Saccharomyces cerevisiae S288C: one gene and its partners. The gene in region 4 interacts genetically with the main gene of each other region. Each region holds a gene or a part of one and is shown on either strand. Other genes may lie near its edges. The genes, in order: HXT3, HFL1, YCR102C and SEN54.

Region 1 (8,459 bases), on a different chromosome or scaffold from region 4:
AAAAATAGCCAATGAAGTAGACAGAATCATTTGACCAGTTAGGTAAATTACTGTGTCAAATAATTCAACAACGCGTTTCTACGTGGTGGGCAGAAGTCCCTGGAATACTTTAGTGATGGTACACTTTTCGACATTAGAATTGTCTCTGAATTGTCACCCCGCTAATAAGTTATTTGTATGGACGCCAATAAAACCATACAAACGCGGCTTTCTGGTACTGCGTTTAATCTTGCATGAACTTTTCCGTCCATTGGGGCGAATATTCACTGTGCGATGTATACTACCTTTTTAGCTACTGAAGCCACTCTTAAAGCATGATTTTTTTCCTTCCTGCCATCTAAAGGTTACTTACGGCAACCTTTCCATAAATTGTTGCTGAAATAACATATAATAGTACCAAATGGGCCTATCAATAAGTTTACAGCCTACAAGATTTTCTTCCACTAAAATATATTCGAATAGGACTTTGGCCAAAAACTGTTCATTAAGGGGCAGACTGTTCATGTTTTCTCGCAAATTACCTTTTTAACAAGGTGAAATTATTTTTTTTGGGGAATGCTAACTGTTTATCATCTGCCAGGAAAGAAAACTTAGATCCTCTTTACCAATCGCCGCCAGTAGTACATCATTTCTTATTAAATAAAAACATTTTCATATCATTAACCCTTTTTCAAACATATATGGGATGTAGTTTGCCAAGGATGATCATAAAGGCCTAATATGATCCCCATTTTCTTTTTATTACCAAAAATTCAGGTTTATTGACAAGCCTTCTCTACTCTGTCGCAATGCCAGTTTAACATTGAGGAGTTTAGTAGCTTCATTGTAATGAGGTGACTCTATTTAATTTCAGGTAGAAAAGCGCAGTACCGAGGTGAGCCCTGCATATGTACACTGATTGTGAAAAGCTCCGGCTCATAATTAATTTTTTTGATGAATTATAGAGTACTTTGTTTATAATAGAAGACTTTTTTTTTCCTCCTAAGGTAGCTTATGCGAGAAAGAGCGCCTACTTCGCTTCTAGCGCTACAAAACAATAACTTTGAAGGGTAAAGCTGTTAACTTTTCTTCAAAGCTTAGAAAAGAAAAAAAATTAATAAAAAATTATACTTCTATTGGCAACATCTTGCCATACAATATAAATCGTAAGGGTTCATTAAAAATATAAAATCAGAATTAGAGTGCATTTCAAATGCACAAATTAGAGCGTGATCATGAATTAATAAAAATGTTCGCAAATTATTTGGTGCTGAACATTCTCTTGTACAATGGCTTATCATCGTGAGCCATTTCTTCAGCGTCGTAGTTGGCACCTCTTCTAGATGGTGGAACCCATGAGGCAGACTTCCATGGTAGAACACCTTCTTCCCACATGGTGTTGACTTCTTCCAAAGTCAAACCCTTAGTTTCTGGAACAACTAACAAAACATAGAAGAACATGAAGACCAAACAGCCCATGAAAACGTAACCGTAGTAGAAGTTAATAGCACCAGTAATAAATGGAGTGAAGAAACCAATCAAGAAACCCCACAACCAATTAGCAGCTGTAGCAATAGACATAGCCTTAGACTTGACTCTCAATGGGAAAGTTTCAGAAACAACGACATAAGGAATTGGAGCCCATGTAGTAGCAAAACAGAAAATATAGAAACAGGCAAAGACAATCATACAGTTACCAGCACCCTTGGAAGATGGTTGGTCTTGACCATTTGGCCATAATCTGGTGACACCCACGGAAGCATAGACAACCATACAAGCAGTCATGGATGCAGCACCCCATAGCAAACAAGTACGACGACCATATCTCTCAACAACGTAAATACCAACAAAGGTGGAAGCAAAGTTAACAATACCCAAGACAATAGAGGTTTCGAAAGAGTCACTCAAACCAACAGCCTTGAAAATAGTAGTACCATAGTAGAAGAAATAGTTATCACCTGTCAATTGTTGTAGAGATTGAATCATAGCACCCATGATCAAACGCTGAAGGACCTTTGTCTTGCTACTAAACAATTCACCCCAGGATGCATTACCAGCTAATTTCTCTGCCTCTACACCAGCCAAGACAGCTTCGACTTCAGCCAAAACAGATGGATCATCAACAGCAACCTTGTTAGAAACGGCAATAGAACGTTTGGCTTCTTCGATCTTACCGACTTCAGCCAAATAACGTGGAGACTCTGGAACAAATGTCATACCACCAATCATAAACAAAGCCCAGGCAAAACACAAACCTAATGGAACTCTCCATTGCACAGAGTTGGAGTAGTTCTTAGTACCGAAGTTGGTACAGTAACCCAAGAAAATACCGGCAGTAATCATCAATTGGTAGCAAGAGACTAAAGTACCCCTTAAATGCTTTGGGGATACTTCAGAAATCAACATAGGAGATAAAACGGCAATACCACCAACACCCAAACCGGAAATAATTCTACCGATGAAATATTGGTACCATTTGTTGATAGATGCAATTTGAATAATAATACCGATGATGTAGATGACAACAACGACAATCAAACCCACCTTACGACCGTACATATCACCCAATTTGGAAAGAATAATACCACCAATGGCACAACCAATGTTGAAAATGGAGACAATCAAACCAGTTCTAACCTTAGACAAATAATTAGTACCATCTTTATGCTTCATACCAAATCTTCTGATGAAATCGGTTTGATTGATGAAACCAGAAATGGTACCAGTATCCCAACCGAAAACGAAACCACCAAAGGCGATCATGATACACATAATAGAGACAGTGACATAGGCAGAAGCTGGTCTCTTTGGAATTTCAACGACAGGTTCGTGCTCTTCACCTTCACCATAAGCTTTTATTTCATCTCTTTCAGCCTTGTTTGATGGTGTAGATAAAACCGAGTGGGAGGCTGAGTCAACAGCAGAGAGATGCTCCACAGGAGTTTGCTCTGCAATAGCAGCGTCTTGTGACATTTTTTGATTAAAATTAAAAAAACTTTTTGTTTTTGTGTTTATTCTTTGTTCTTAGAAAAGACAAGTTGAGCTTGTTTGTTCTTGTTTTTTTATTATTAAAACAGAAAAATTGGAAAAAAGAAGAAGATAGTTACAAACCATATGTCTTTTCTCGAGCTCTTTTTATATGTTTCTGTGCTTTCTATATTGTATACCCATTTGCTCTCCATTGTCTGCAAGCCAAAATCTGCATACAGATCCGAGACATCTCTTGGATTTTTTTCAATGAAGGCACGGAGGGCATCTGAATAATCTCAATGAGTAAGAAACGAAATTTTTTAAGGAACATTTTCAATTTGCCTACGGACTATTCTCTGCAAAGTTCCAATAATTTCTCCTTTTTTTCCAGCGTTTAAAGGAAAAAAACTGGTTTTCGATGCCGGGGCCCCACAATGTACCTGCACTTTTTGTGGGGTAAACGTGGATAAAACGAATCTCCGTTGCCTAAAAAACATTTTTTTTCGTACGGTCCCCTCTGCGTTCAGGAAAAAAAGAGATCGGGTGGTGAGGCTAGGTAGCGTAGCCCCTTGGAGAAGCATATGAAACATTTGTCTTGGCGCCGCACACAGGAACTGCGCACTTCTTTTTGTCCTAGGTTGCTTATCACACCATATGGTGCACCCGTGCTCGTTGTCACTGCCTTTTTTTAACAATTCTTCCTTTGTTCCTCTGAAAGCACGGGCCGGCGCACTCCAATTACCCCTACATTAATTTCCAAGTAGTAGCAGGGGGATGAACATGTGAACATGTTGCAACAACTGCGGTGTCTTCTTAGGCTTGTGTTCGGAATTTCTTCCTCCTGTTTCGGTGTGTGTTGCTTATTTTTTCCTTGCCCCTTTGCGGCATCACAGCAGCCGTTGTTCCGTATTCCGGCTGATAAGCATGGAAAGATTTTCCAACAATACTCATGAAAAAATGTGTTGGTGTCTGAGTAAGCTAAATTTTCCCAAATTTGATGCCATTCAACCCGAAAACTTAAAATGTAAAAGGGGTTGAGATAGTGCAGCTGTGTGGCAAAAGTCAAAAAAAATCTGTTCCTTTCAAGGAAATGAAAAAAGGAAGGAAAAAATGTCCAGGACAGAAAGGCCATCCCCTTAGTAAAGAAACCTGCTTAGAGATTCTTGAGGCTCGAAAATGGTTGGTGGTTGGACTTCTTTTGAGTTTTCCGTCCGGATTTCAAACGAAATCCATCATCACGTTCCTAGCAACAAGAGGATTATTGGACGATTGTCGGGAGTAAAGATTACTCAGTTGGTTTTCTAACTCTACTGCGCACTTCTTCGTGGGTATAACAAATTGCACACACATACATTCTTATTATTTGATACTGCTTACGATAACCGGAGACTTCTTTTTTTTCCTGTTCGGCTCTCGCCGATGGTATGAAGTTAAATGGTAGAAAAATTGTTTGTTTTGTTTACAAACTGGATCAAGAAATGTTAAAATTCTGTTTGATATCATGTACCAATGTCTTTTATTAACTGTATCAGAGAATTATATATATAAAGTCATAAATCTTGTGTATTATTTATCATTATTGACTAGCACATCGAATCTTAAAATACACTATTATTCAGCACTACGGTTTAGCGTGAAATTATTTCTTGCCGAACATTTTCTTGTAGAATGGCTGGTCATCATGCATCAATGCATCAGCATCGTAGTTAGCACCTCTTTGAGATGTTGGAACCCATGAAGCAGACTTCCATGGTAGAACACCTTCAGCGTACATATCATTGACTTCTTCCAAAGTCAAACCCTTAGTTTCTGGCACAAAGAAGAAAACGTAGAAGTAGGCGAAAACCATACAGCCCATGAAAACGTAACCGTAGTAGAAGTTAATAGCACCAGTAATAAATGGAGTGAAGAAACCAATCAAGAAACCCCACAACCAATTAGCAGCTGTAGCAATAGACATAGCCTTAGACTTGACTCTCAATGGGAAAGTTTCAGAAATAACAACATAAGCAATTGGAGCCCAAGTGGTAGCAAAACAGAAAATATAGAAACAGGCAAAGACAATCATACAGTTACCAGCACCCTTGGATGAACCATTACCTTCACCATTTGGCCATAGTCTGGTGACACCAACAGAAGCGTAAACTACATAACAGCAGACCATACCAATGGCACCATATAACAAACAGTTACGACGTCCAAAACGATCGACAGTGTACAAAGAACAACAAGTAGAGAAGAAGTTGACGACACCGAAAACAATAGAAGTTTCGAAAGAATCACTCATACCAACAGCGTTAAAAACGGTAGTACCATAGTAGAAGAAATAGTTATCACCAGTCAATTGTTGTAGAGATTGGATCATGATACCCATCATAGTACGCTTAAACATGGCCGGCTTACCAGTGAACAACTCACCCCATGATGCTGAACCAGCAGCTCTAGCTTCTTCAACACTAGCTTCAATAACTTCCAACTCTTGTTGAATGAATGGATGGTCTGGGGCAACCTTGTTAACTTTGGAAAGAGATGCTCTTGCTTCGTCAATTTGACCAGCTTCAACCAAATAACGTGGGGATTCTGGAACGAAAGTCATACCACCGATCATAAACAAAGCCCAGGCAAAACACAAACCTAATGGAACTCTCCATTGCACAGAGTTGGAGTAGTTCTTAGTACCGAAGTTGGTACAGTAACCCAAGAAAATACCCAAGGTAATCATCAGTTGGTAACAGGAGACTAAAGTACCTCTCATTTCCTTAGGAGCGACTTCAGAAATCAACATAGGAGATAAAACGGCAATACCACCAACACCCAAACCGGAAATAATTCTACCGATGAAATATTGGTACCATTTGTTGATGGATGCAATTTGAATAATAATACCGATGATGTAGATAACAACAACGACAATCAAACCCATTTTACGACCGTACATATCACCCAATTTAGCCAAAATAATACCACCAATGGCACAACCAATGTTGAAAATGGAGACAATTAAACCAGTTCTAACCTTAGACAAATAATAACTACCATCTTTATGCTTCATACCGAATCTTCTCAAGAAATCAGTTTGGGCGACGAAACCAGAAATGGTACCAGTATCCCAACCGAAAACGAAACCACCGAAGGCAACCATAACACAACAGATAGACACAGTGACATATGCACCTTTACCTGTATTTGGGTTGGTAAGTACTTGGTCGGCCTCAGCTTGGAAATCATCTTGAACACCTTTTTCTTCAGGCATGTTCATTACCTGAGAGCTATTCGAAGGCAGGTCAGCATTCGAATTCTCACTTGACTTTTGTGGAGATATTAAATCTGGAGTTGAATTCATGATTGTTTAACTCAGATGTAAATTTTGTTTGTGATTCTATTATTTATGAAAAGCTATTAAGTAAAATTATGGAATATTCATGCTGAAGATAAAACAGCGCCTGTATTTATATGCAACCCCCAAGCGAAAAAAAACTTTGACTTTTCTTCTCTTCTGGAGAAATTCTCTGGGGATATAGTCCCCAGATTTTTTGAGTGGGCCCCCAATGTCCCACATCGTTATTGAGTTGTTTCTTTCTCCAGAAGGTCGTTGTACAGTCATTATAATGGCGGTCAGTATAATGACCTCCGGAAATACCAACATCGGGGAAAGCGGAAAATCTGGAAAAATTCTCCACGAAGCTTTCTCTGTGATAATCCGCGACCGAGAGTTTAACCGAATCCGCGGAACGAGATATTCCGTGTTTATTGCGGTATTATATGAGCCGGACGAATCCGGAAAAACTACGTGACAGGAACGATGACCGGGCAGCAGGCGAAGCTGGAAGAATATAGCTAAGAAAATGCGCACGGAAAAAAAACACTCCCGAATTTCTCCGTGAAAAGAGCCTACTAGGGGATAATAGTAGGTATCCGTTAATATTACCGAACTATTGAAAACCTACCAAATGCAAGAAGATGCAAACGAGCTAGAATGTTCCGCGAATAGCTCATCTTACAATTTTTTTCTTTTTTCAAGAAAAAGAAAGTATTTTTTTTTCCTTTCATTTCATTGCTCCTCCTCCAGGTGTTATCTCGAGAAGATGAAGGCTGTCTGCGATGACGAATAGGAAAGAAAAAATTTTCCTTAATTTTGCTTGCTTAATTCTTATACGAATAATTCTTCTTAATCAACATCGGGCTTCATATTTACCAACACGCATTATTGATTAACAATACTTGCCTTAGGTTGAAATTGGACGCCGGAAGAGAATTTATAGCTAGTCAGTGTTCTTCGGCGTAATTTTATTAATGGACATACAGTGTACTTTTCAAACTACACCGCCATTTGATATACCGGTGTAATTTTTGATGAAGTGTCAGAATTAGCCGCACAGTTAATTGAACACTTCGCTGTAAGGTGTGGATACAGATTAGATAAGAGCATTAGGCACCACATTTCTTCAGGCTTTTCCTGATGCTGGTTTGGATATTGCCTTCATCCCGCACCAAAGCTGGCGTCCCGCATGAGGAAAATGAAGAGTTGTAAGCAGCACTAAATTCCGAAATTAAAGGGCGGGCGGATGCCACCAGTAAAATATTCTTGATCAATCTTTGATATTTTCAAATGATCTCCCATTGTAATCTGAGAACTGCTCTTGTTTGGCTACGTAAGGCAGTATGAGGGTTGTAGTTAGTAGTAACCCTGTCTAAGATTCCCGGTGCTATGTACTTCTCTCACAATAATACAAGTAGTGAATGTCACTTAATAAATTTTTGTAATAAAAAGTCTACAAAGTTTGTTTGTGACTTGTCGAAATTCAATTCTGTTGCTTTCATTTTTCTGTAGAGAAGAAATAATATTCCGACAAAATGTAAATAAATATGCTAAAGTGGGTTACGACAAATTTCTTGAGAGCCATTGATTTTTGCTATAGAGGCATGAAAGCATACTGCACACACATCCAATACTTAACTTTGGCAAATGAGGAGCCTAATTACAGAGATAACTTCAAACTACATAAAGAACCAAGATACTAGTTAATGGAACGCCTAGACGATCATGCTTAACTGAACGAAAAGTAACTAATGAAATACAAGTCTCTTTTCGCCGAAATTTGAATTTAACAAGTCTAGTATACCCATTGTTAGTGCATTTCTCCGTGTTTTGAGACGCTTTTTTTACATGCTTCTAAATAAAGGCATCATCCATGCTCGGCAGCCGTAGAAAATCATTAGCCCCTAACTTCCAAAAATAGACTGCGCGCTACGTGAGACGCTTACTTCAGCTGTAGTATCCTAACGTGAAGGTTTTTTTAATTTACCCCATAAGGATCGCGTCAATAGGATCGTTTCCATTTTCCGACTTTGCAGATTAGATGGATCCCTAAAACGAAGTGCATAGTTGCGGTATTTTGTATTTGAGCCATTTAAAATAGTCTGGAAGGTTTTCTTTTTGATTAAATACATTTGGTGTTTCATTAAACCTGGAACAATACATATGATCACTTCATCCCGATAAATACCAA
Region 2 (7,767 bases), on a different chromosome or scaffold from region 4:
TGCGGTAAGTCTATTATTCTTTTGGAGAATATGTTTATCTGACACACTGGTATGGCCAACAAAGCTTCTTTTACTGAGTCTGGTGATATTTTACTACTTAACCCTGGTTTTTGGTAGAGTTTACTGCGGTATGCATGGTATGCTGGATTTATTTAGCGGCGCCGCAGTTGGAGCTATCTGTTTTTTTATAAGAATCTGGGTGGTGCATGCTTTACGAAATTTCCAGATTGGTGAACATCTCTGGTTTCCCCTTTTGAGTGTAGCATGGGGCTTGTTTATTCTGTTTAACCACGTCAGGCCCATTGATGAATGTCCTTGTTTCGAAGATAGCGTAGCGTTCATTGGCGTAGTCAGTGGGCTGGATTGCAGCGACTGGTTAACCGAAAGATACGGATGGAACCTTGTATGTAGTAGGTACGCATCATGTGGTTCTAAGGTGTTCTTGAGGCCTCTGGTAGGTGTCGCTTCTGTGATTGTTTGGAAAGACGTCATTAGCAAGACAGCTGTCTACACGCTGTTAATTAAACTACTCAGATTTCACGATGATAGAAGCGAAAAGGTTCATTTCCATAACGAGACAAGTGAAGAAGAAGAGTGTTTATTGTACAGCGGTGTTTCCAAAGTGGAAATCGTCGGAAGGTTTCTCATATACGCAGGTATACCTACAACCGTCTTTTTGCTATGCCCAGTTTTTTTCACTTGGACAAACTTAAGGTAGACTCTCGTATGTATGCATTTAGTGACTTATACATATATATTGTATCTACATAACACATCATTGAAATTCACCCCGATGAGTACATATTTGGAATTCAGCATTTTTTTTTTCTCGCTTTTGATAGCCAGCCCATCTATGGTGCTTACTAATGTATAGAGAGGATATAACAATGAAAAATCAAGATTTCAGGCATGAGTCAAGACTTTAGCTCTTTTATATACCTTCAGGATGTTCGTACCATGCGTCGCAGGCCCTAGATCGGCGTTTTGGGTTTTACACATGCATGTTTGCCGTGGTTCACCCTCTTTTAACCCACAGGAATCGCTACTTTGACACCCCCGATCGTGTCTCTTTTCGGTATTTTGGCACCCTTTCTTGAATGAGAGCATGGCGAAGACTGAAAGGCAAGAACACCCTGCTATCTTTTGCCTACCATTGGCGAACGTCATCTTATCTAAGTAGTAAGCTGTATATAAAGATATTTGGAGGTTTTATTGGAATCTCATAGAATTTTCACTTTATCAGAGGTTTATTGACGAAGACTTTCGTGAGAAGTACAAAGTGAAGAAGTAAAAAACTCAACCGAAATATCAGTTAATATTATGAATACTTCAGAACTGTCAATAGCTGAGGAAATCGACTACGAAGCTCTTCCATCACATGCTCCGCTACATTCCCAGTTACTGGCAGGAGCATTTGCAGGTATAATGGAGCATTCTTTGATGTTTCCAATAGATGCTCTGAAAACCCGAGTGCAGGCTGCAGGATTGAATAAAGCTGCCTCTACAGGGATGATATCTCAGATATCCAAAATATCTACAATGGAAGGTTCGATGGCTTTATGGAAGGGTGTTCAATCGGTAATACTGGGGGCAGGGCCTGCGCATGCAGTATATTTTGGTACATACGAGTTTTGCAAAGCTCGCCTGATAAGCCCTGAAGATATGCAAACTCATCAACCAATGAAGACCGCACTGAGTGGTACCATTGCTACCATTGCTGCGGATGCATTGATGAACCCCTTTGACACCGTTAAACAAAGACTACAATTGGATACTAATCTAAGAGTTTGGAATGTTACTAAGCAAATATATCAAAATGAAGGCTTTGCAGCATTTTACTACTCCTATCCCACAACATTGGCCATGAATATCCCATTTGCAGCGTTCAATTTCATGATATATGAATCTGCCAGCAAATTCTTCAACCCACAAAATTCCTACAATCCATTGATTCATTGTCTTTGCGGTGGGATAAGTGGTGCAACATGTGCTGCGTTAACTACACCGTTGGATTGCATAAAGACTGTATTACAGGTTAGAGGCAGCGAAACTGTCTCCATCGAAATAATGAAGGATGCGAACACTTTTGGTAGAGCCTCAAGAGCCATACTGGAGGTTCATGGTTGGAAGGGGTTTTGGCGAGGTTTGAAACCAAGGATAGTGGCTAATATACCAGCCACTGCCATTTCTTGGACTGCATATGAATGTGCTAAGCATTTTTTAATGAAAAATTGATGTTTTTTCCCCTTTTCGAGGTCAACTTTTTTTGACAACTTATAAAAGGCAAGGCCAAAATGCATTGGTGGTGGTGCTGTTGCTGCTGCTGCCACTTTTGTTGCTGCAAAAGACAAGTCCAATGGTAATAATAGAAAAATAATAATAATGGTGATATCGTCCAACTCCCACTCTGCATATATAGCCAATCCTCCGGCAAAAAATTACAGTAGCATTTATTTCATTTTATTAGAATAAGCATCCAAGTTACAATAATTGAAAAAAAAGCATTGCTTGTAGATGTTGTTTTATTTTGTATATAACCGAAAGCGCAGTAACTATGTATATACGTACATTTAACGACTCATTTAACAAGCCATTGATGACCTACTTTGAACATCTCTTCTTAAATCATTCATTGATCTACTATATCGATGGCCCATCGTGTAGTCGTGAACAACCGGATAATTTGGATCCTCAGGAAAAGTTCTCTGACCAGCAATATCATCTTCCCATGATTCCTCTATTGATTCCGGAACAAGGTTGTTATCTATACTCCCATATGCCACCCAATAACTATTTCTTCCATTATCAGTAAATCTTAGCCCATGCTTTAGTCTTTCCATAGTCGCACCGGATTGTTGTCTAGTGCTTAATAGATCCATGGCTTCAGGATCGAAGTTCCTATAATTATAGTACAAGGGACCAGCAAACAAAGTCTGTTTAAAATCCCATATTAGATCACCGCAACCAAGAAAATCTTTCAAAGCGTAAATGAATTTCATCCTGGCCCCATAAGGTATGCTAAATGCTGTGTATTTGTTCCAAGGGAAAGCTACTGCATGCAAGATGGCGAAAGGCACCATCTCTATACACAGGAGCCCATTCTTGTACACATATCCAGAGGTTCGATCTTGGTTTCCCGTACCCAACTTTCCAGTAACCACTAGACCCTGGATTATGATGCTCTGCCAATAAGAGGCAAAAATAATCAATTTGACACATAAAAATTTCAACCATGGTTTATAAGGAGTTAATTCCGGATAGAGACACTTCCAAAATAGTGCTAAACTATACAGTGACCAAGTCACTGAAATATTATAAAAAACGTTCAAAAATATTTCGAATTTGGGTAGCTTCCATGCACTGCATATCAATGTACCAAAACAATAAAATGGTTTGAACCAAACATACTGTAATATGCCTTTTTTGACAAAAAGAAAATCAAAAGGATCAGATAAGTCTATCGGTTTGCAAATTTTACCTATTAGCGGTATCGGATGTCTTGTGGGGGCGTGATTTAAGCTTAAAACAGTAATGATGTTCCTCTCGCCTCCTAGTAGTAGTGTTAAAAATGTGAAAAAAGTGTAAATAACGAATGCTTCATAAAATTCTCTGATAGGATCGACATAAAATTGAGCTGCTTCAGGCTTAATTATGCCACTTGCGCATGACACACTAAAAATGGGCACGAGCAATAGTATCCGTATGGATAGTCTTTGTTCATATGGTTTACGGTAATTTAATAAGTGTCTAGTTATGGTGTAAAAAGATATTATGGTAGCTATAATAGATGAATACACGCATGGCCAGTACAACCACCAACAAAGTAGTTTGTTTTCCATAACAATTATGTTTCTATACTTTTGTGATTGTACTGTCGCAATTCACTTTTCACTCAAACCTTTGCTTAGGTCGTAACTTGGCAGATGCTTCTAGTGGACCTGTTGATGGCTTTGGTTGGTTATTATTATTATTATTATTCTGATCTGAAAGTGGTTTAGATCTCGTTTTCTGCCTTTTTTCGTAGGGGACAAAATGCAATTCAATTGTGAAAAATACAATAAGTAAAAAGAGGGAAAAAAAATGAACTAAAATTTTTCTAGAATAGTCAGAAATCAAAAGTATATTACGGATAGGATTCGTTGTGCTTGTTGAATCGTAGTGGTACACCTTTTAGGGTCTTAATCTTTCTTATTTTTCTTTTATATTTCGTTAAAGAATAATAAACTTCGGAGATAATACATATAATACTGAGAGAAAATTACGTTGGCTCTTATGTAGGTAAAGAGGGGTAAACTTGATTTTAATGCTTCCCCCAAAACTTTGTTGCTATTTTTTTCAGTTTGTGGGATCTCTTTTTGACGTAAGTAGTCATTGGATCCTCACCAACTTTGGCTAACAACTTACCCTTAGCTTTCATATCTTGTAAACGATCAATTTGTTCCAGTTTGTCACTTGGCAGCATGATGGCACGATCCAAAGTGTATGGTAAACCTCTATTTCTTCCTCTTATTAGCATGGCAATTATGACTAGCTTCGATAATACGGTGAACTGGGCAGATAGTGATGTGTTGGTGTTTGGGTAACCCAATGACAAACCCACTGTACCATAAGCGCTAACAACTTCAAACAATATAGCAAAGACATTGAAATCAGGTTTATTAACGTCTTCGATTTTTCTGCCCTCGCATATGCATATTATAAATAATCCAAGGAATAGGTACCATAAATCAAAAGAGAGTTGCCTCCTCAAATGAGCACCAACAAACGATTTTGGGGACTGTTTCTTCGGCTTGGACTTTGTAGATACAGTGTCTCGCTCTTCGGATTCGCCATCATGGTCTGTTTCCTTTATATCGTCTTCGTGGGTGATATTTTCGTCATCTTGTCCACTATCGTATAGTCCCAACGATTGCTCCTCATAAACATTCGTTCTTCTAATGGAAATCGCCAGCGGCAGGACCGAAACGTACATCATTAGCATATAAGACACCTGAATGGACGGGTGTAATTTACTTAAGTCAACAACGTTGAATCCAGCAGTTCTTGTGCATACAGACTGGAAGAGGCCCATGAGAGCTCGATAACCTTTAGCAACCTGCCTTACTACAGCGGAGTTGAAATCCAGAATTATGAAAAGAATCCAATCCGTAGCGTTTAAGACGACTAAAGTTGTAAACAGCCACCATGTGGGGCCGCTGGGGAACAGCAACGTAAAACACCTGCGCGGATGATCCAAGAGAAACCCAAGACTTTCCTTAAACTGAGATAGGTCTCTCGAGGTCTTGAACATGATCCAAATGATAAATCGTAACATAATTGGGAAGCCTGTATTGCCTATGATGATGAAGAACATCATGAAAATCAGCGGATACGGCGCAGTATCAAAGGAAACCATTGAATCAGCGGTCAAAGACAGACCCAAGTTGCTGAATGCACTCATTGCAGTGAAAAACCCCCACCAGGTTGGAGAAACTCCATTTCGTCTAATAATCTCTGAGTAGTGGTGCCTCGTACAGGCCCATGGAACGATGGTCACAAACGCCAAAATGTTGAATCCGATGTAGTATACCATGAGAATGCAGCACAGCAATCTCAAAGCACGATATTCGACACCGCCGAGTTCCTCCTTTTGTTGCTTTGTGAGTCCAATGAAGACGGAGTTTCTGCCAAAGGTTGGCTGCCACGATAGATAGTTGGTGCTCATTGTTCTGGTGAAGGGGTGGCCTATATCACCTTCACGTCGTTTTGGTTTGGGCGGGTGCGCTTGGAACTGTAAATTCAAAGACTCTTGCGGTGAAAAGCTCATCTCCTCATCAACAAAAGATGAAGGCGCCGACTTGGCCAAGTTTCTATGATTTTCAACTACTTGGCCTGAGGTTTTAGGACTCGGTGAAGCAGTATACGTTGGGATGTTACATGATTGCGTTCTAGATATTTTTTTCTTCTTGGTGACCATATATTTGTGAGGAGCACCGTCAAAGTAGTCATGGTCACCTTCATCTCTCCGCAAGCCAAGCAATTTCTGGAAACTTTTCGTCTGGGCTAGCTTGTTCAATTCCTGAGAAGATGGCAGGACAGAATGGCGTTTCAGTGAGCAGTGGGGGGCTCTTCTCTCATGACGTTCCTGCACAATGAAAGCGGGTCCATTGGTCTCGCTCGAAAAAGAATCCGTGGAGTTTGCGTTGCTCTTCTCTTGTTGTTTTTGTAGCATCATTATCGATTTGTAAATGTCTCTTGGGTCAACGTCTGAGGGTTGGCGCTTACTTGAGAAGTTTGGAGGCGAGCTTTGCGTGTCACTGGATTCCTCCTTAGAGGAGGAAACATTCAACGGTGAGATTGAGGACAATGCGGACGTGTCAGGAGAGTCCATCGGCACATCTGAAGCGGATTGTCGTGGGTCTTCTCTGGAAACAAACTTCCCACGGAACAGGTTGTCCTTGAAACTCCTACTTCGAGCGGCATTGCCACTGCTGCCCGATAGTTCCCTTTGTTGCAACGTCATGGTCCTTCTTAGTTTAAAATTCTGTTTGGAGATATCCCTAATGTTGTCGAAGTACCTTTCAAACCAATACAGCCTGACAAAGGCCAAAAACCCATGAATAAGTATAGGCGTGGACAGCAATGTAATGACGTACACCACTATCTGCTGGTACAGGTTGAAATCGTTAGTGCTCTTGGTGGCCAGCCCGCCCTGTGTAGACGCTCCAGCAGCCAGAAATAGCACATCGATGAACGCCGTGTTCTTGCACGGATATAACAGAATGGACCCGATAATCGACAGCGTGATCAGGTAGATATAGTGCACCACGATGAAGTTGGGGAAAACGTATTTAGCAATGGGTCTGCATGATTTTAAGAACCCGGAAATGAAGTCTCTTAGCCGATGGCCCCATGATTTCTTGTGCACCAACCGTAACTGGAAGGGCAGTGCCAACGAAGCCCTGGATGACGTCCTCTTAGCTGTTGGCATGAGTGGTTCTTACAGCCTCTTATCGTCGGTGAATAGTACAAAATAGCCTCTTTTCTCATCATCTGAAACCTAGTTATTCCAATATCATTTCTCTTTTTCAGCCGCACGGCCGAGGGGATTAGAAACGAAAATTCACATCTCATCCTATTCTTCGCAGGAGATCAAAAGTGAAAGAGAGAAACGGGAAACAACCATCTGAGCATGGCAGCTTGCATCAAATTATCAATCATCGTGTGATGTACCATGGCCTATTCAACGGCGGTACGCTTGTACTACAGGGCGCTTTCAGCGCATGCCGGGCACTCCCTTCTTTCTTCCGTCGTCTTGCATCTCTCTAATCCCGTCGCTATGCTCTGATATAACCGTTGCCAAAGTGTCAAGCTGTTGTGAAATTGTGCTGGAGGCATTGATGGTTCTTGAACTCTTCCTCTTTTTAGTCTGGCTTTAGCTTGATTGGGCACGGGCACTCAATGGACGGGGTATCCACCCAGCTTGGAAAGGGGCATATAAAACCAAAAGAGAACGTTAAGAAAAGTGCAAATGAAAATAACAGACCGGGAGATCGCAAACGCAAACGCAATAAATGTCGTTTTGGAAAACATTGCAGAGACAGCCACGTACCATCTCGTTGTTTACCAATGACATCGCGTCCAATATCAAGTCGCAGAAATGCCTGCAGTTGCTGAAGGGAGACGTCTCTCATCGATTCGACGTGGAAATCGCCAACCGCTTTCCCACGTGGGACCAGCTGCAATACATGAGAACTTCGTGCCCGCAAGGCCCAGTTTCGTTGCAAA
Region 3 (7,847 bases), on a different chromosome or scaffold from region 4:
ATTATGCGGCCGAATGATACTTTTCGGCCGAATATTGAGCGTCTCAGCCGACCCGCATTAAATGACATTGGGATTATTGCAAATGTTCGCCCTTCAACTCTTCCTTGCTTAACTGATAATTGAATCAAACCATTTCCACTCCACCCCTGAGAAAATTGCAACAAATAACACCGCCTTATCCTACAAATCTTTAGTTATTACCTCCTTAACACTATCCTTACTTTAACACTTACTCCATTTTCTGACTAATAAAAACATATACACACATAAGTAGGCACAGAAATGCAAATATTCGTATAACAGGAGACGAAAATTCAATATGGTTACTCTGACTTGTCGCTCGCATAGTCCCTGATCTACAGCATTAATCCAAAAAGAGACATGTGTGTAAACAACTCCGGGCCAACACACTGAAAAATAAAGAAATCAATTTATTTTCGTGGGAGAAATAAAAGCAACAGAGCCAAACGTATCAAACTTCAGCACTACTCATTAAGAATATATGCAATAATACTGGATAGCACTTTCAACTGCTTCCCCAGAAGGATAGCCTAGAAGAAAGTTTCTTTTCCGTTGTTGATGCACCTAAATAATGTCGTCTTGATCAAATATAGGCTTATAGTATTGATATATGTTTATATAGTCAACTGTATTTATATCAAAAAAAAAAAAAGATTTTTTTTTTATTCTTTCGTTATTTTTCAATGTCTATGGAAGTTCATTAGTAAAGGCATGTCTCTATTTTGGAATAGCAGTGTAGATACCGTCCTTAGATAGAGCACTGGAGATGGCTGGTCTCAATCTAGTGGAGTACCATGGGACACCAGTGATGACTCTGGTGACTTGTTCAGCTGGAATACCAGTCAACATAGTGGTGAAGTCACCATAGTTGAAAACAGCTTCAGCAATCTCAACTGGGTAGGTCTCAGTTGGATGAGCTGCTTGAAACAAGTAGTATTGAGCCAAATGAGCTCTGATATCGGAGACGTAAACACCCAATTCGACCAAGTTGACCCTTTCGTCAGATGGAGATAGAGTGGTAGTGGCTGGGGCAGCGGCAATACCGGCAGCGATGGCGGCAACACCAGCAGCGATTGAAGTTAATTTGACCATTGTATTTGTTTTGTTTGTTAGTGCTGATGTAATCTTAACAAGAAATAGTGAAATGAAAGCGCATACCTCAAAGGCATATAGTTGAAGCAGCTCTATTTATACCCGTTCCTCCATCTGTCATCACTACTTAAACGATTCGTTAACAGACGCTCATTTAGCACCTCACATATCCTCCATATCTCATCTTTCACACAATCTCATTATCTCTATGGAGATGCTCTTGTTTCTGAACGAATCATACATCTTTCATAGGTTTCGTATGTGGAGTATTGTTTTATGGCACTCATGTGTATTCGTATGCGCAGAATGTGGGAATGCCAATTATAGGGGTGCCGGGGTGCCTTGAAAAACCCTTTTACGCGCGCCTGTGAAGTTTCCGCTTTCGGTCAAAAAGAATATCCGAATTTTAGATTTGGACCCTCGTTCAGAAGCTTATTGTCTAAGCCTAAATTCAGTCTGCTTTAAACGGCTTCCGCGGAAGAAATATTTCCATCTCTTGAATTCGTACAACATTAAACGTGTGTTGGGAGTCGTATACTGTTAGGGTCTGCAAATATGTAAACTCTCGGCGAATGCCTTGGTGCAATTACGTAATTGTAGCCGCTGAAGGCGGATGGTATTGAGAGAAGTTGATGTTCAAAGTATCGTGTATGATAAAAATAGAATTGTAACCAGTTCGTAGTAGCAGTATTAAAACTTTGATTCCGAGATGTAATCCCTCTTTTCTAGCCAGATATGAAGGAAAAAAGTGTAAGGGTAGTTGAGAGCGCTACTTTATTTTATTCTATTTTAAAAATGTTCTCTAGGAGAGGTGTATTAATAGTTGGTACTCCATGTAGCTTCTAAGTCAAAAGAAATGTCTCTATCTTTATGGTAACGGTTCATCGTTAGAGCTCAATTGTGCTTCTTGGATGTATTTCCAAAGTCCCACGTTTAATAACCCACACAACATAAATGTCCTTGAATATAAAAAATTTCGAAAGCTCCCCGTAAAGAATGCTTGATAATCAGCTCCATCAAAGAAATACTTTTTGTTCTTCCAAACTTTTCCTCTCAGCAAATACATATTTATTTCCTTTGCAACCACTTTCTAGAGAATTCATAATAGTTGATAAAAAAGGCATTTTGTCTTCTATGTTCATAATTTCAATTCTTGAATTTTGGAAATCGTGAAATGTTTCGAGAAACCGCCTTCAATAATTAGAAAACAAAATAAAAGATTACAGTTAGGCCACTCAAAAATACAATTCAGATAAGAAAGGTGCGATAGTGGGGAATAAGAATTGGAAATCCGCTTGATAATCAGGGAAAACTTAAAGAACGGGGTGTTAAAAGTCTGTGAAGTATAGATCAAACTCGCACTAGCTAGCAATACTCATGAGAACCTAGGTGAGTGTAAAGCAGTGAACCTTCTTTAGAAAGCAGAGAAAAATCCTCCAAGTTAACAGTCTTCCATACTTACTCAGTATGGATCAAGTTCCACAGTTTGTCCACTTCTGTAGAATAAACTTGTAGTGCTTTTCCGATGAAAAGGGATAGAGTCTTTAAAAGACTTGATCTTGGCATTTTTATCCTCCTTCAAGCAGAATGGCTCCAGTAGAGTTGTTCTGAACGCTTCTGGGCAGTGAGCAGCATTGAAGAAAAAGTACTCAGCATTCCAAGCTTTGTCTTCATATAATTATAAATTAAAACTCATAGCCACCAATTTCCAGGTTTTGGTCGCAATATGCTGCAGAATCAATGGCTTGTTTCGTTACTATACTGGTCCGACGGAGTTTACTTTACTCTAAATTTGCTGAAATAGCAAGGCCACACGCCATACAATTAACAATAGTTCATTCAGTTGAAAGGTTTCCGAGATAGAAAGTGCGGTAGTAGAGAAGAACAATAAACGTATCAAACTTTGCGCAGTCATGGAATTTCCAGGAAACATTTTTAGGTTTTCATATGACAGCAGTTCCTGTCCGAGAGCTGTGCCTTTCTTGTCTCAGCTGACTAAGATGTCTCGGATCCGCCCGGCTGGCGCGCGGCTCCGTCTAGTGGGATAGGCTTTCAACACATAGGAAACCCTTCAGATGATGAGAACACATCGAATCCCAGAGAGTAATATCACCAAGAATAAAGCAACCATGATAGACAATATTACTAAGTGTTCCTCAACAGATATTGAGAAAAGTTCTTATAAAGCGGGCAGGCTTTTTTCTATTTTTTTCTTTTTCTTTATCTAGCTTAAGATCCTTCTAACCATATTCTATAAAATGGCAAGCTGAATACAGATTATCAACGACAATTACATATAACCTACAAACAGGCAAGTTGCAATTCCAGAAACCATGAAGGCTGTCGTCATTGAAGACGGTAAAGCGGTTGTCAAAGAGGGCGTTCCCATTCCTGAATTGGAAGAAGGATTCGTATTGATTAAGACACTCGCTGTTGCTGGTAACCCGACTGATTGGGCACACATTGACTACAAGGTCGGGCCTCAAGGATCTATTCTGGGATGTGACGCTGCCGGCCAAATTGTCAAATTGGGCCCAGCCGTCGATCCTAAAGACTTTTCTATTGGTGATTATATTTATGGGTTCATTCACGGATCTTCCGTAAGGTTTCCTTCCAATGGTGCTTTTGCTGAATATTCTGCTATTTCAACTGTGGTTGCCTACAAATCACCCAATGAACTCAAATTTTTGGGTGAAGATGTTCTACCTGCCGGCCCTGTCAGGTCTTTGGAAGGGGCAGCCACTATCCCAGTGTCACTGACCACAGCTGGCTTGGTGTTGACCTATAACTTGGGCTTGAACCTGAAGTGGGAGCCATCAACCCCACAAAGAAACGGCCCCATCTTATTATGGGGCGGTGCAACTGCAGTAGGTCAGTCGCTCATCCAATTAGCCAATAAATTGAATGGCTTCACCAAGATCATTGTTGTGGCTTCTCGGAAACACGAAAAACTGTTGAAAGAATATGGTGCTGATCAACTATTTGATTACCATGATATTGACGTGGTAGAACAAATTAAACACAAGTACAACAATATCTCGTATTTAGTCGACTGTGTCGCGAATCAAAATACGCTTCAACAAGTGTACAAATGTGCGGCCGATAAACAGGATGCTACCGTTGTCGAATTAACTAATTTGACAGAAGAAAACGTCAAAAAGGAGAATAGGAGGCAAAATGTCACTATTGACAGAACAAGACTGTATTCAATAGGCGGCCATGAAGTACCATTTGGTGGCATTACTTTCCCTGCTGACCCAGAAGCCAGGAGAGCTGCCACCGAATTCGTCAAGTTCATCAATCCAAAGATTAGTGATGGGCAAATTCACCATATTCCAGCAAGGGTCTATAAGAACGGGCTTTACGATGTTCCTCGTATCCTGGAAGACATTAAAATCGGTAAGAACTCTGGTGAAAAACTAGTTGCCGTATTAAACTAGATGACGAACAGATATTATTTTTCTTTTGTATACACAGTTATTACGTATGTTAGAGTGACTTGGTTTTTTTTTTTTTAATGAAATTGTTTGTTATTGATCACGCCTTGTAGGGGAAACAGATGAGAACAGTGAAAATCATAACTCATTATGTGATTTGTTGTGCGTCACCCTTCCATGATTATATATCCTTACTATCTACTATCCAACTACTACATATCTATTGAACTCATATGTACCAAGCACATAAAATTATGCACCTATTTCCATTGGCAAAGACTTGGCGAAATTTAATACACTGTAATAATATCCGGCGAAGCTCTTTAAGAATTCTTACCTATAATAGCGGCTCGCTGTCCGAACGATTGCGCCGCACTTTTCTGCCTCTTACATTCCCTTTTCCTAAGGCGATAAGCAGGCTGAATGGAAACTACGATATAACGCAGTAGAGGTCCCCCAAGAGCTGGAAAGAAAATATTGGTTTGATAGCCAGCACTATTCTATCCAGTGGGCTCTTGTACCATTTTCTGTGGTATGGCTTTGATTCAACTGCATACGTAGTTAACGCGATCAGCCGCACATGGGCATTATCATTTTCAGGGGTACTGGTAAACCCTATTGTTTAGAAAGAATACCTGGTAAGCGGGTCTGTCGAGTCTTTCCCACTAATTTTGAAGAAAAAATCTTTACCTAGTTTGAGAATAATCGTGGCGTTCGTAACATCACGAGGTGAGAGAGACCAGTTAGGTAAGGGTATGCCAATAAAAGGTTATTGATACTTCAACGAATCTTCATATTAAAAGTGCCTTCACCAGAATAAAATTCTAACGTCATCCTAAAAAGCATCAATTGGACATAGTGAGGGAAAGTTTTCACCATTTAAAATCTATTCTGCAGAATACCATTCTAGACTATGATCCCTTAAAGATTCCCATTCTTTAAATATACAAATCAGGTTCAACAGCGTATCTTTATGGTATTATCGTACTACTGGCGACATTAGCAAATCCAAGTATCCTAACTAGGTTTCTAGTCTTATCTCTTGGTTTTCTCCATTAGATGGTAAACACGTTACCTTGATGGCTGTACAGGAAGTGAACATGGTCAACTCAAAGTCACCGGACTCAAAATAATTGCAATTACCTAGACTGGATATTTTTAGAATATTATGAGAATATTTTTAGAATACTTGCAACCCAAAATATATTTAAATGCCGCCAATTTGCAACCAAAAGATTATCCGCTACCTTTTTTTTAGTCATTGAATTGTAGCATAAAGTTCCGAGCTTTGAAAAAAAACTTTGAACTAAGAAAAGGTAAGAGATCCTCAATTATGATATTACTTCATGCCATATATACTCTTTGGGTAATTATACTACTTCCGCTACTCAATGCAGAGAAATTTGTCCCAAAAGTAACGGAGGCTCCTATAGAAACATCATTTAATCTAGTGAGTTTTGATGATTCCAACACTTCTATCAGATTAGATGGTTGGGGGGTTGTATGGATAAGTTTCGACGCTGGAGAAAATTGGGAAACGGTCAAAGAAATTGAAGAGCGCATTTTCAGATTTACTGTTGATCCTTTCCATGGACAGGAAAGAGGTTTCGCTTTTATATGTGAATCACCCAAATTCTACATTACCGACGACCGTGGGGAGTCATGGAGGGCTTTAACTATACCCTCATCAGAAGAATATTTAGATGGCGACTGTTTTATAACTACTCATCCTAGAAACAAAGAACTTCTTATTGCGAATTGCTATAGCTATATGATAGACGCAGACGTTTTATATGACCCAAGTGAAATTTACTTGAGCAATGATGGGAATCCTTTTTTAAAATTAAACCTTCCTTGGAAAAGAAAAAAGACGACGATATAACAACTTAAAGCTGTCATTTCATTAAGTCTAGCAAGGATTCTGACTTTACTGGTAATGATACTTCGATACTCTGTTTGTTCTCTAACCGTGAATACGATGAAGAATATCGCTTAACTGCTACCTACACACAGTTGGCTTTCAGTAGTGATGGAGGCAAAACGTTTAAAGATTTTGATGAATTTAAAGATAAGATTGTTACTCAATACAAGATATTGAAGTCATATGTGGTCGTTTTAACGCAAGATGACGGGCATAACGAGATGTCATCTACGGACATCTGGATATCCAATGATGCATCTACTTTTCAAAAGGCACAGCTGCCTACTCAATTACGGCACGTCAAAGTGATTAAAATTCGTGAAGATTCTATCGGAAGGATCATCCTTCTTATATCGACAGAAATCACAAATGAGGAAAATGCTGATCCAGATCTCTCAGAGATTTTCATATCAGATTCGCAAGGGTTGAAATTCTCACCTGTTGAATGGACACCAAACCATCAGTTTGGAAATTTTAGGCTCACTTTTCCTGATTTCTTGAAAGGGACAATATTTGGATCGTTTCATCCTTCCATTGACTATTCTAATCACCAAGTAAACTATACTGAAAATATAGCCGGAGGAGAAACCAAAATATCCGTTGATAACGGCCTCACATGGTCAAATTTGAAAGTTGTTGATGAAGAAAATGCCGATTCGTTCGGCTGTGATATCACTAGGCCTGAGAGATGTTCACTTCAGGGTTATTTTTACAATCTAAAACTTTCAAATCCTTCTGCTGGGATCATATTAATGACAGGTTCTGTTGGCGATGACAATGAATTCGATCGGAAGGACCGAAAAACTTTCATTTCTAGAGACGGTGGTCTAACATGGAGGGTGGCCCATAATTCTTCTGGATTATATGCTACTGGTGATCTGGGAAATATTATTGTATATATCCCGTCTCCTTCATATAAAGATGGTGATGTACAATCCAAACTTTATTTTTCCTTGGACCAAGGTAGAACATGGAATCAATATGAGCTTGTTGACGCTTTATTTTATATCCATCCATTAGAGTTGATTAATACAACGCCAGATGGATCAGGCTCAAAATTTATTTTAAGCGGACATCTCATTACTACGGCTAGTCAAGAAGGAAACAACACCAACATCTCATATATTGCAAGAAGTGTCCTGTATGCGATCGATTTTTCTGCTGCATTTTGACTATAAAACGTGTGAAGAGGAAGATTTCGAAGACTGGAATTTGGCAGATGGGAAATGCCTTAATGGCGCCAAATACATGTATAAAAGGAGGAAACAGGACGCCCGTTGTTTGGTAAAAAGGACATTCAAAGATATGATTTTGCATGAAATACCTTGTGACAGTTGTACTGAATCCGACTACGAATGCTCTTCTGAATTTGTTAG
Region 4 (8,248 bases):
CACTTAAGGAATAATGCAAATGGAGAACTAGCACCTTCTTCATTGTCGGAACAAAATCTAAAATATTACTCATTTTTGGAGCATCTTTATTTTCGCCTGGGTAGCAAAGGATCAAGATTAAAAATGGATTTCACTTGGTATGACGCAGAATACTCATCGGCCCAGAAAGGATTGAAATACACGCAACATACGTTAGCATTTGAAAAGTCTTGTACTTTGTTCAACATTGCTGTAATCTTTACCCAAATTGCGAGGGAGAATATCAATGAGGACTACAAAAACTCAATCGCAAATTTGACAAAAGCTTTTTCCTGTTTTGAATATCTATCAGAAAATTTTTTGAACTCACCTTCAGTCGATCTTCAGTCAGAAAACACTAGGTTTCTGGCTAATATTTGCCATGCAGAAGCTCAAGAATTGTTTGTCTTGAAATTATTAAATGATCAAATATCATCCAAGCAATATACATTAATCAGTAAACTTTCTAGAGCCACGTGTAACCTCTTTCAGAAATGTCACGATTTTATGAAAGAAATAGATGACGATGTGGCCATTTATGGTGAACCCAAATGGAAAACGACAGTTACTTGCAAACTGCATTTCTACAAATCGTTAAGCGCTTATTATCACGGTTTACACCTTGAAGAAGAAAATAGAGTTGGCGAAGCAATTGCTTTTCTCGATTTTTCTATGCAACAATTGATTTCATCCCTTCCATTCAAAACGTGGTTAGTGGAATTTATAGACTTTGATGGGTTTAAAGAAACTTTAGAAAAGAAACAAAAGGAGTTGATTAAAGATAACGATTTTATATATCATGAAAGCGTTCCAGCCGTTGTGCAGGTTGATTCCATTAAGGCGCTCGATGCAATAAAATCTCCAACATGGGAGAAGATATTAGAACCATATATGCAAGATGTTGCAAATAAATGTGACTCTTTGTACAGAGGAATTATTCCCCTAGATGTCTATGAAAAGGAAAGTATTTACTCAGAAGAAAAAGCGACGCTGTTGAGAAAGCAAGTTGAAGAAACTGAGACAGCAAATTTGGAATATTCTTCCTTCATCGAATTTACAAATCTACCCAGGCTCTTGAGTGATTTGGAAAAACAATTTAGTGACGGAAATATTTTCTCGAATACGGATACACAGGGACAATTGATGAGGGACCAAATTCAGACATGGTGTAAATTTATCCAAACAAATGAATTTAGGGATATAGAAGAACAGATGAACAAAATTGTTTTCAAAAGGAAACAAATTTTAGAAATCCTTTCTGCCTTACCCAATGATCAAAAAGAAAATGTTACAAAACTAAAATCTTCTTTAGTAGCTGCTTCAAACTCAGACGAAAAATTGTTCGCATGCGTAAAACCACATATTGTCGAGATCAATCTATTGAATGACAATGGAAAAATATGGAAGAAGTTTGACGAATTTAATCGCAATACGCCTCCACAACCTAGCCTATTGGATATCGATGATACCAAAAACGACAAGATATTAGAGTTGTTAAAACAAGTAAAGGGCCATGCGGAAGACTTAAGAACATTGAAAGAGGAACGTTCGAGAAATTTGTCTGAACTAAGAGACGAAATCAACAACGATGATATCACAAAATTATTAATTATTAATAAGGGGAAATCCGATGTTGAGCTCAAAGATTTATTCGAGGTGGAACTGGAGAAATTCGAGCCTTTGAGCACAAGAATAGAGGCGACAATTTACAAACAATCTTCAATGATAGATGACATCAAAGCCAAGCTAGATGAAATTTTTCACCTTTCAAATTTCAAGGATAAATCTTCTGGGGAAGAAAAATTTTTAGAAGATCGTAAGAATTTTTTTGATAAGCTGCAAGAAGCAGTGAAATCATTCAGTATTTTTGCATCCGACTTGCCAAAAGGAATAGAGTTCTATGATTCATTATTCAATATGAGTAGAGACTTAGCAGAAAGAGTGAGAGTTGCAAAGCAGACCGAGGATTCAACAGCTAATTCTCCCGCTCCTCCCCTCCCTCCACTTGATTCTAAAGCGTCTGTCGTTGGGGGTCCTCCATTACTGCCCCAAAAAAGTGCAGCCTTTCAGTCATTATCTAGACAAGGGCTCAATTTAGGGGACCAATTTCAAAATCTCAAAATAAGTGCCGGCAGTGATTTACCTCAAGGACCCGGTATTCCACCAAGAACTTATGAAGCTTCGCCATATGCTGCAACGCCTACTATGGCAGCCCCACCAGTACCACCGAAACAATCGCAAGAGGATATGTACGACTTGAGAAGACGTAAAGCAGTTGAAAACGAAGAACGTGAACTGCAAGAGAATCCTACGTCCTTTTACAATAGACCCTCTGTTTTTGATGAAAATATGTACTCCAAATACAGCAGTTAGGTGCATTTCTTATTTCTTAATTTTATTGTAGCTTTTTTTTTTCAACTAATATGATAATTATATATATACCGGATTTGTTGAAAGCCAGTTTTGCAAGGATAAAGAAACTGCGATTTAGCAAAAGTCCCTTTAATGCTTCTTCCATCTTTGATCTACTTTCTTTTGAGTATTAGGTGTATACCATACACTTTCAGATCCAAAATCAGCCTCGGACATTTTTACAAACGAAATAAGGCCATTATCCATAATAGCGATAATAAAGCTCCGATATCCCGTCTTCAATCTACGATTTTGCTGTATGTGAGGTGGGTACGCCTTTCTCTTCTTTTTCGTGCTAGACTGTGCAGTTTTTTTTTGAAAACTTGCTTTCATAGACGACTCACTTTTTTCAGTTTGAGATTTCGCGCTCCTCTTATGAATATATTCCTTTCGTGGGATATCTTCAACGTAGGAGTTTGTCTCCCAATCGTCATCATCCTCGATTTCGCTTAAAAATTCGAATTTATAATCAAGTGAGGAAAACATAGATCGCAGCTCTTTATAGGTAGGAAAATGCTGAAGATCGTCATTTTTATTGTAAACGAAAACTTGGAAATCAGGAAGACCGGGGTCTCTTTTCTTGAAATTAGAATGGGGTTTCCATACTTTAAATGTCAAGGGAATATCCTTTACCTTTTGAAATTCCCTATCAGATTGTGCATCCAATAGCTCTTTTTTATTCTTTGGTACAGCCACGGAACGAACAAGCCTATTTAAACCCTGGTATAACTGTGGTGAAGTCGTATATTTACGAAAAAAAAAATTCCACTTAGAATAGAAGAAACCACTAAACAGCGATAACTCTTGTATTTTAAACAATGAAAGTAATCTCCAAGTGATTGCTTGTAAATTACTTCGTTGCTTTTTCAATGGGAAAAAGGAAGTCTTGACTGCTGCTTCTTGATTGCTGGGTTTTAGAATAAAACCCAACCTTTTTAAATGAGCAAACACAAAATATTGGTCCATTTCCTGTTGCGATGAAAACAGCGAATACAAATCCTCCATACTGAGTAAAATCTCTGTTTCGTGCTTTGAGCTTTTGTTAGAGCCTGCTTCTAATCTATAATAAGGAAGAATAGTGCCTCTCTCTGCCAAATAAACAAACTCATGGAAGTCAAGCCAGAGTTCGCCTGTGCTATCAGCCCTTCCCATCGTTTGCATAAAGCTGCCTTTGGGTTTAAGTAGAACGGCTTGATGTTTATGGGGAACATAGTATCCTCTTACTTCAGATTTTACTGTTGTGCCTCTTATTGAGTCTGATATGGTATCAAACATGGCTTTACTTGCATTATAGAGAAGCAGATCTTGCAAATTAGTCCCATCTGGTTCATAGTCTTTTTCACCCCTCTTTGGAAGTGAAAGAGCAGCATTTTTGCTAACGAGCGATGCGAGTTGCGACCAATCTTGTTGTAGTTCTTCTTCTTCTTCTTCTTCTTCTTCAAAGCCCGGATTAGATGTGGTCACTTGATCAGTTTTCTTCCCAGCGAATTGCATTTAAATTGGCAGAAGAACAGAGGTTTTATGTATGTTTATATCCAAACGTTTCGATAGCTCAAATGAATAATTTTTCATACTGAGATGAAGCTCTGCAGAGTTCGACTAAACTGTTTCTAGTTTCCCTTTGGCGCAACTTAACTATGAAAAATAATAAAATAAAAAAAAAGTCCAAGCCATAATCAATAGACAGCTAATAACCTGAATTTTAACAAGAGAATATGAAAACATTATCAATACTGATTTGAATATACCCGTAAATTCTATAAGACTCCATTAATATACCGTATTATATTACAAGTTGATAATACATAAATGCGTTAAATAAAACAAAAATGACCTTGTATACGCGTCATTCCAATGCAAGAATTTGTTTATCGTAAAGTTTTGATGAAGGTGTCTAAATTATACTCCTCCTCGTATTGAGATGGGTCCCATAGCTCTTTCAATTCACCGAGGGCCTCTTTGGCTTTGCCAGTTAAACCAGTCTCGTTGGCAATATCTTCCATGCCCTTGGCTGCTTGGGAATCGCCATTATTCTTTTCCTCATTGTCCTGTGAGGTAACGTTATCGGGGTCGAAGAGATCAAGCAGCTGATGTGTATCCATGGATGCTAATCCACTGTTTTGCTGATTAACAACTGTAGAAGCTATATTCATTTTGAATTTCTGCAAACCCATGATTTTTTCTTCAAGCGTACCTTTCGTAATAATTCTGTAAACATTAACAACCTTTTTCTGACCAATTCTATGTGCTCTGTCCATTGCCTGTAGATCATTCATTGGATTCCAGTCATGCTCTACAAAAATGACGGTGTCTGCACCAGTTAAATTCAGACCCAGCCCTCCGACCTTGGTGGTCAACAGTAGGCAATCAATAGAGGGATCTTCGTTAAATTTCCGAACAACTTTTTGTCTGTCTCTTGGGTCAATGCTTCCATCTAGCCTCATATAGGTTACGGAGGGCATATACTTTTTAAACAAGTCATTTTCAACCATGTCTAGCATATCTTTTAGTTGGCAGAAAATCAGGGCTCTGTGTTGTGATATGACATTTTGAATAGGAAAATTCTGATCTTGGCTTGCTTTTTTGTCGATATCTTCTTCACCTATACCACATTCAAAGAGTAATGTTCTCAATGCGCTCAGTTTTGGAGCGTTGATAATATCGTGTAAATCTAGACCAGTTTGCTTTAAATAGTCTTGTACTTGCGCTAATTGCGGGTGATTTGGTGAAAGGACCAAAGCTGGATGATTACACAATTTTCTCATGTATTGTAAAGCTTGGAAAATATGTTGCTTGCCATCAGCAATCTCAGAATTTTCAATATCTTTCTCAACTACATTTTTTTGTTTTTTAGTAAAATCCATGTATAGTTGTTTTTGTAAATCACCTAATTCACAGTAGTAATCCTGAATAATTTTAGGTGGTAAATCAGATAGAACGTCTTCCTTCAATCTTCTCAGCATGAAAGGTAGAACTTGCTTATGTAGTGCCTCCAAAGCCAGTACACCTGCTTCCTGCTCCTTAGATGATGTTTTACTATTTCTTGACGCAGCGATTGGCTTTGCGAACCTTTCCTGGAACATCTTTTCCGTTCCCAAAAATCCCGGCATTAAGAAGTCAAACAGAGACCACAATTCTAAAACGTTGTTTTGGATGGGAGTTCCGGTTAAAATTAATCTATGGTTTGCAGTAATTTCTTTAACAGCCTTAGCAAGTTTTGATTGAGAGTTTTTAATTATATGTCCTTCATCCAAAACACAATAATTATATTCAGTTTTGTTTAGGACTGCGAGATCATTTCTAGCTACGTCATATGATGTTACAATAATATCAGCATCACTTAACTGTGGTCTCAGAGTTAATCTGACAGTTGGGCCACCGGCATACACAACAACCTTTAAAAAGGGAGCATACTGGTCAAACTCGTTTTCCCAATGGCCAGTTAAAGATGGGGGGCATATTATGAGAGATGGTAAGGCTCTACTTTCAACAGAACGCGTTTTTTCATAATCTTCCTTCCTCAAATATTGATCGCTTGCGATAATGCAGATGGTTTGTAATGTTTTACCCAAACCCATATCGTCACACAATATTCCATGTAGATGATATTTGTTCAGGAATGCCAACCAGTTAACACCATCTTGCTGATATTTTCTTAAAGTCGCCTTGATGGCAATGGGTAATTTAAATGGCTTAGCTTTAGAAGGATCCATCATTTGTTGGATAAAATCACGCTCCCTCTCTCTGCTTGCCACTAGTTCTTCTGGGAGTCCTTTTGGATCGGCGATACCAGCTTCTAAAGGAACTAATTTGATGATAGAAGCAAATGTTGTTGTAGCTAAATTCCTCACATCTTCGTTCGAATCACTCATGCGACCCAAAAGTGGAACTATTAAGAAAATGACGTAAGGTAGAACATCGGTTTCCATAGAAAGTGATAAATGATAAATAAGCTCCGTGGACCCTTGACGATCGGATAGAGAACCAGCGCTATTCATTAAAGGCAAAATCTCACGTATGGTGTAAGCCATTACCTCCACGGAGGAAATTTTAGCCAGATCAGCAAAAGTTCTTGCAGCTGAATAACGAAAAACAGATAAGTTTGATCTTAAGAACGTTAATAAAACAGGGAAACGGGTAAAAACCTCACTAGAACGTAGCGAATCAGACATAAATGGGAATAGAGCTCTTAGTACACCAAATGAGTCGACTATTTTTTGACCTTGCTCGTTGTCAACTTTACTTGCTTCCTCATTTTCATGATCAGATAATGAATCAAATAAAATCGATCTAAGCTGAGGTAGTTTCTGTAATATAGAAGGCCCAAGAACTTCAAATAGTATTTTTAACGTAATCAACCCACCCTTCCTTTTTAGTTGAGCCTCTTCCGACATCTTTGCGAGATTAATGTCATCTTGTGCGGCAATCGAATTAGATTCTTTTATTAACGTCAATATTTTTTCTTTATATTCTGCATTTACGGAGAAATCAGGAACTTCTGAAGTATCAACGCATAAAAATCCGCAGAGATTTTTGACTATCTTACCAGACACATTAACTTTATTATTTTCTAACAGTTGCTGAATCAAATGTACGACCGATTCTCCGGCCATCGTTTGTAACTTTTCATTCCTTTCTTCTTTAACACTGTCCATTAGCGACCTGATAATGGGGTTTAATTTAAGAGGTAGACCATCAAATAACAAGATGGATGATGCGTAATTAGCGAGAATGCTGCCTGTACGAAGTTTTGCGGATTCTTTGGCTGAATTGATTGCCATCAACACGCGATGCTTAGAATCTTCTAATGGCTTCTTGGCCAATAGTTTGTAAGAGTTGTTCATGGATTTGAACATTTTATCATAGTATTCGCCGTACACTTTTTCTGCTGTTTCAACACCAAACGCATGTGGACCGGCTTCTGTTTCGCCTTGAACCACAATTGCTACGTTGGGTAGTTTGTACTGAGGTAACATACCTACATCCACAAAGGTAGCCAGTAGGCTTTGACATTGAGTCCTCAGAGCTTTTAAGCTAGGTACTAGCTCCCTAAATACAGGAAATTCATCGCGATTCAGTAACTGTTTATTCATCACAGGACTGAAAATCTCTGATACAAAAGAAGGTAATTTTTCCCCTTCTGGATGCTTTTGTAACCACGAGGAGCAAAACTGTGAAACAATAATGCCTGCCAACATACGTGGAGTTGAGAATGGCAGCTCTAAACAACGAACCAGAACGTTTGTGAAGAAGGATTGAAGCGTGGAATCTTGAAACATTGACAATGTCAAAGCAAATGCCTTTGCTCCCATTATTCTAGTGTTCAATATTACGTCCAATCCTAGCAAAGTAATATCTCCAGCAATCATAGGTGCATCGATATTGATATGTTCATTATTTTTTGGTATTGGAATGTCAGAATCTGTTGTGGTTTCAGATATAGAACGTTTTTTTTCTGGATGTAATTGATAGTGCTGGGAAGGCTTTAGAATATATTGTGATTCCATGGCATAATTCTTTCCCTTTTCCCCTACTGGCGTATTTAGAAGATGTAGTATTGGCTGCAAATGTTTACTGAAAACATGATCTAAAGTTTTTTCGGTATGCTTAACTTTATAATGCTCCAATAACGCAACATAAACATCAAAAGACAGTTGCAATAGTTCCGGGTTTTGCTCCAGTAAAATATTCTGAAAAACTAGACGGAATACCTTGCCGTTTAACCAGTTTTTAGTAGAATCATCCTTTATTGATAAGAATGCAATCAGTAGATTCAAAACAGCCCTCCTCACAGAAGAAATCGAATGGCGTAAAAAGG

Evidence for each region.
Region 1: mutations in SEN54 (region 4) and HXT3 together harm fitness more than expected from each alone (negative genetic interaction), as found in Saccharomyces cerevisiae (one large-scale study listed by BioGRID).
Region 2: mutations in SEN54 (region 4) and HFL1 together harm fitness more than expected from each alone (negative genetic interaction), as found in Saccharomyces cerevisiae (one large-scale study listed by BioGRID).
Region 3: mutations in SEN54 (region 4) and YCR102C together harm fitness more than expected from each alone (negative genetic interaction), as found in Saccharomyces cerevisiae (one large-scale study listed by BioGRID).

Annotation. Positions count from the first base shown.
Region 1 is NC_001136.10:1,158,369-1,166,827, forward strand, and holds HXT3 (hexose transporter HXT3), read right to left. Parts: upstream 6,293-8,459; coding exon 4,589-6,292; downstream 1-4,588. Other genes in the region: hexose transporter HXT6, read right to left, coding at 1,240-2,952; YDR344C (uncharacterized protein), read right to left, coding at 3,638-4,081. UniProt on the Saccharomyces cerevisiae protein: Low-affinity glucose transporter.
Region 2 is NC_001143.9:527,018-534,784, reverse strand, and holds HFL1 (Hfl1p), read right to left. Parts: upstream 3,840-7,767; coding exon 2,583-3,839; downstream 1-2,582. Other genes in the region: sphinganine kinase YSR3, read left to right, coding at 1-718; MRS4 (Fe(2+) transporter), read left to right, coding at 1,321-2,235; TRK2 (Trk2p), read right to left, coding at 4,301-6,970; FMP46 (putative redox protein), read left to right, coding at 7,554-7,767. UniProt on the Saccharomyces cerevisiae protein: Vacuole membrane protein that recruits ATG8 to facilitate the degradation of vacuolar integral membrane proteins during early-stationary vacuole turnover (EVT) when cells enter stationary phase.
Region 3 is NC_001135.5:301,067-308,913, reverse strand, and holds YCR102C (uncharacterized protein), read left to right. Parts: upstream 1-3,446; coding exon 3,447-4,553; downstream 4,554-7,847. Other genes in the region: seripauperin PAU3, read right to left, coding at 739-1,113; YCR101C (uncharacterized protein), read left to right, coding at 5,884-6,432; EMA35 (Ema35p), read left to right, coding at 6,693-7,643; YCR099C (uncharacterized protein), read left to right, coding at 7,615-7,847.
Region 4 is NC_001148.4:394,182-402,429, forward strand, and holds SEN54 (tRNA splicing endonuclease subunit SEN54), read right to left. Parts: upstream 3,925-8,248; coding exon 2,521-3,924; downstream 1-2,520. Other genes in the region: BRO1 (Bro1p), read left to right, coding at 1-2,391; MOT1 (DNA-binding ATPase), read right to left, coding at 4,299-8,248. UniProt on the Saccharomyces cerevisiae protein: Non-catalytic subunit of the tRNA-splicing endonuclease complex, a complex responsible for identification and cleavage of the splice sites in pre-tRNA. It cleaves pre-tRNA at the 5' and 3' splice sites to release the intron.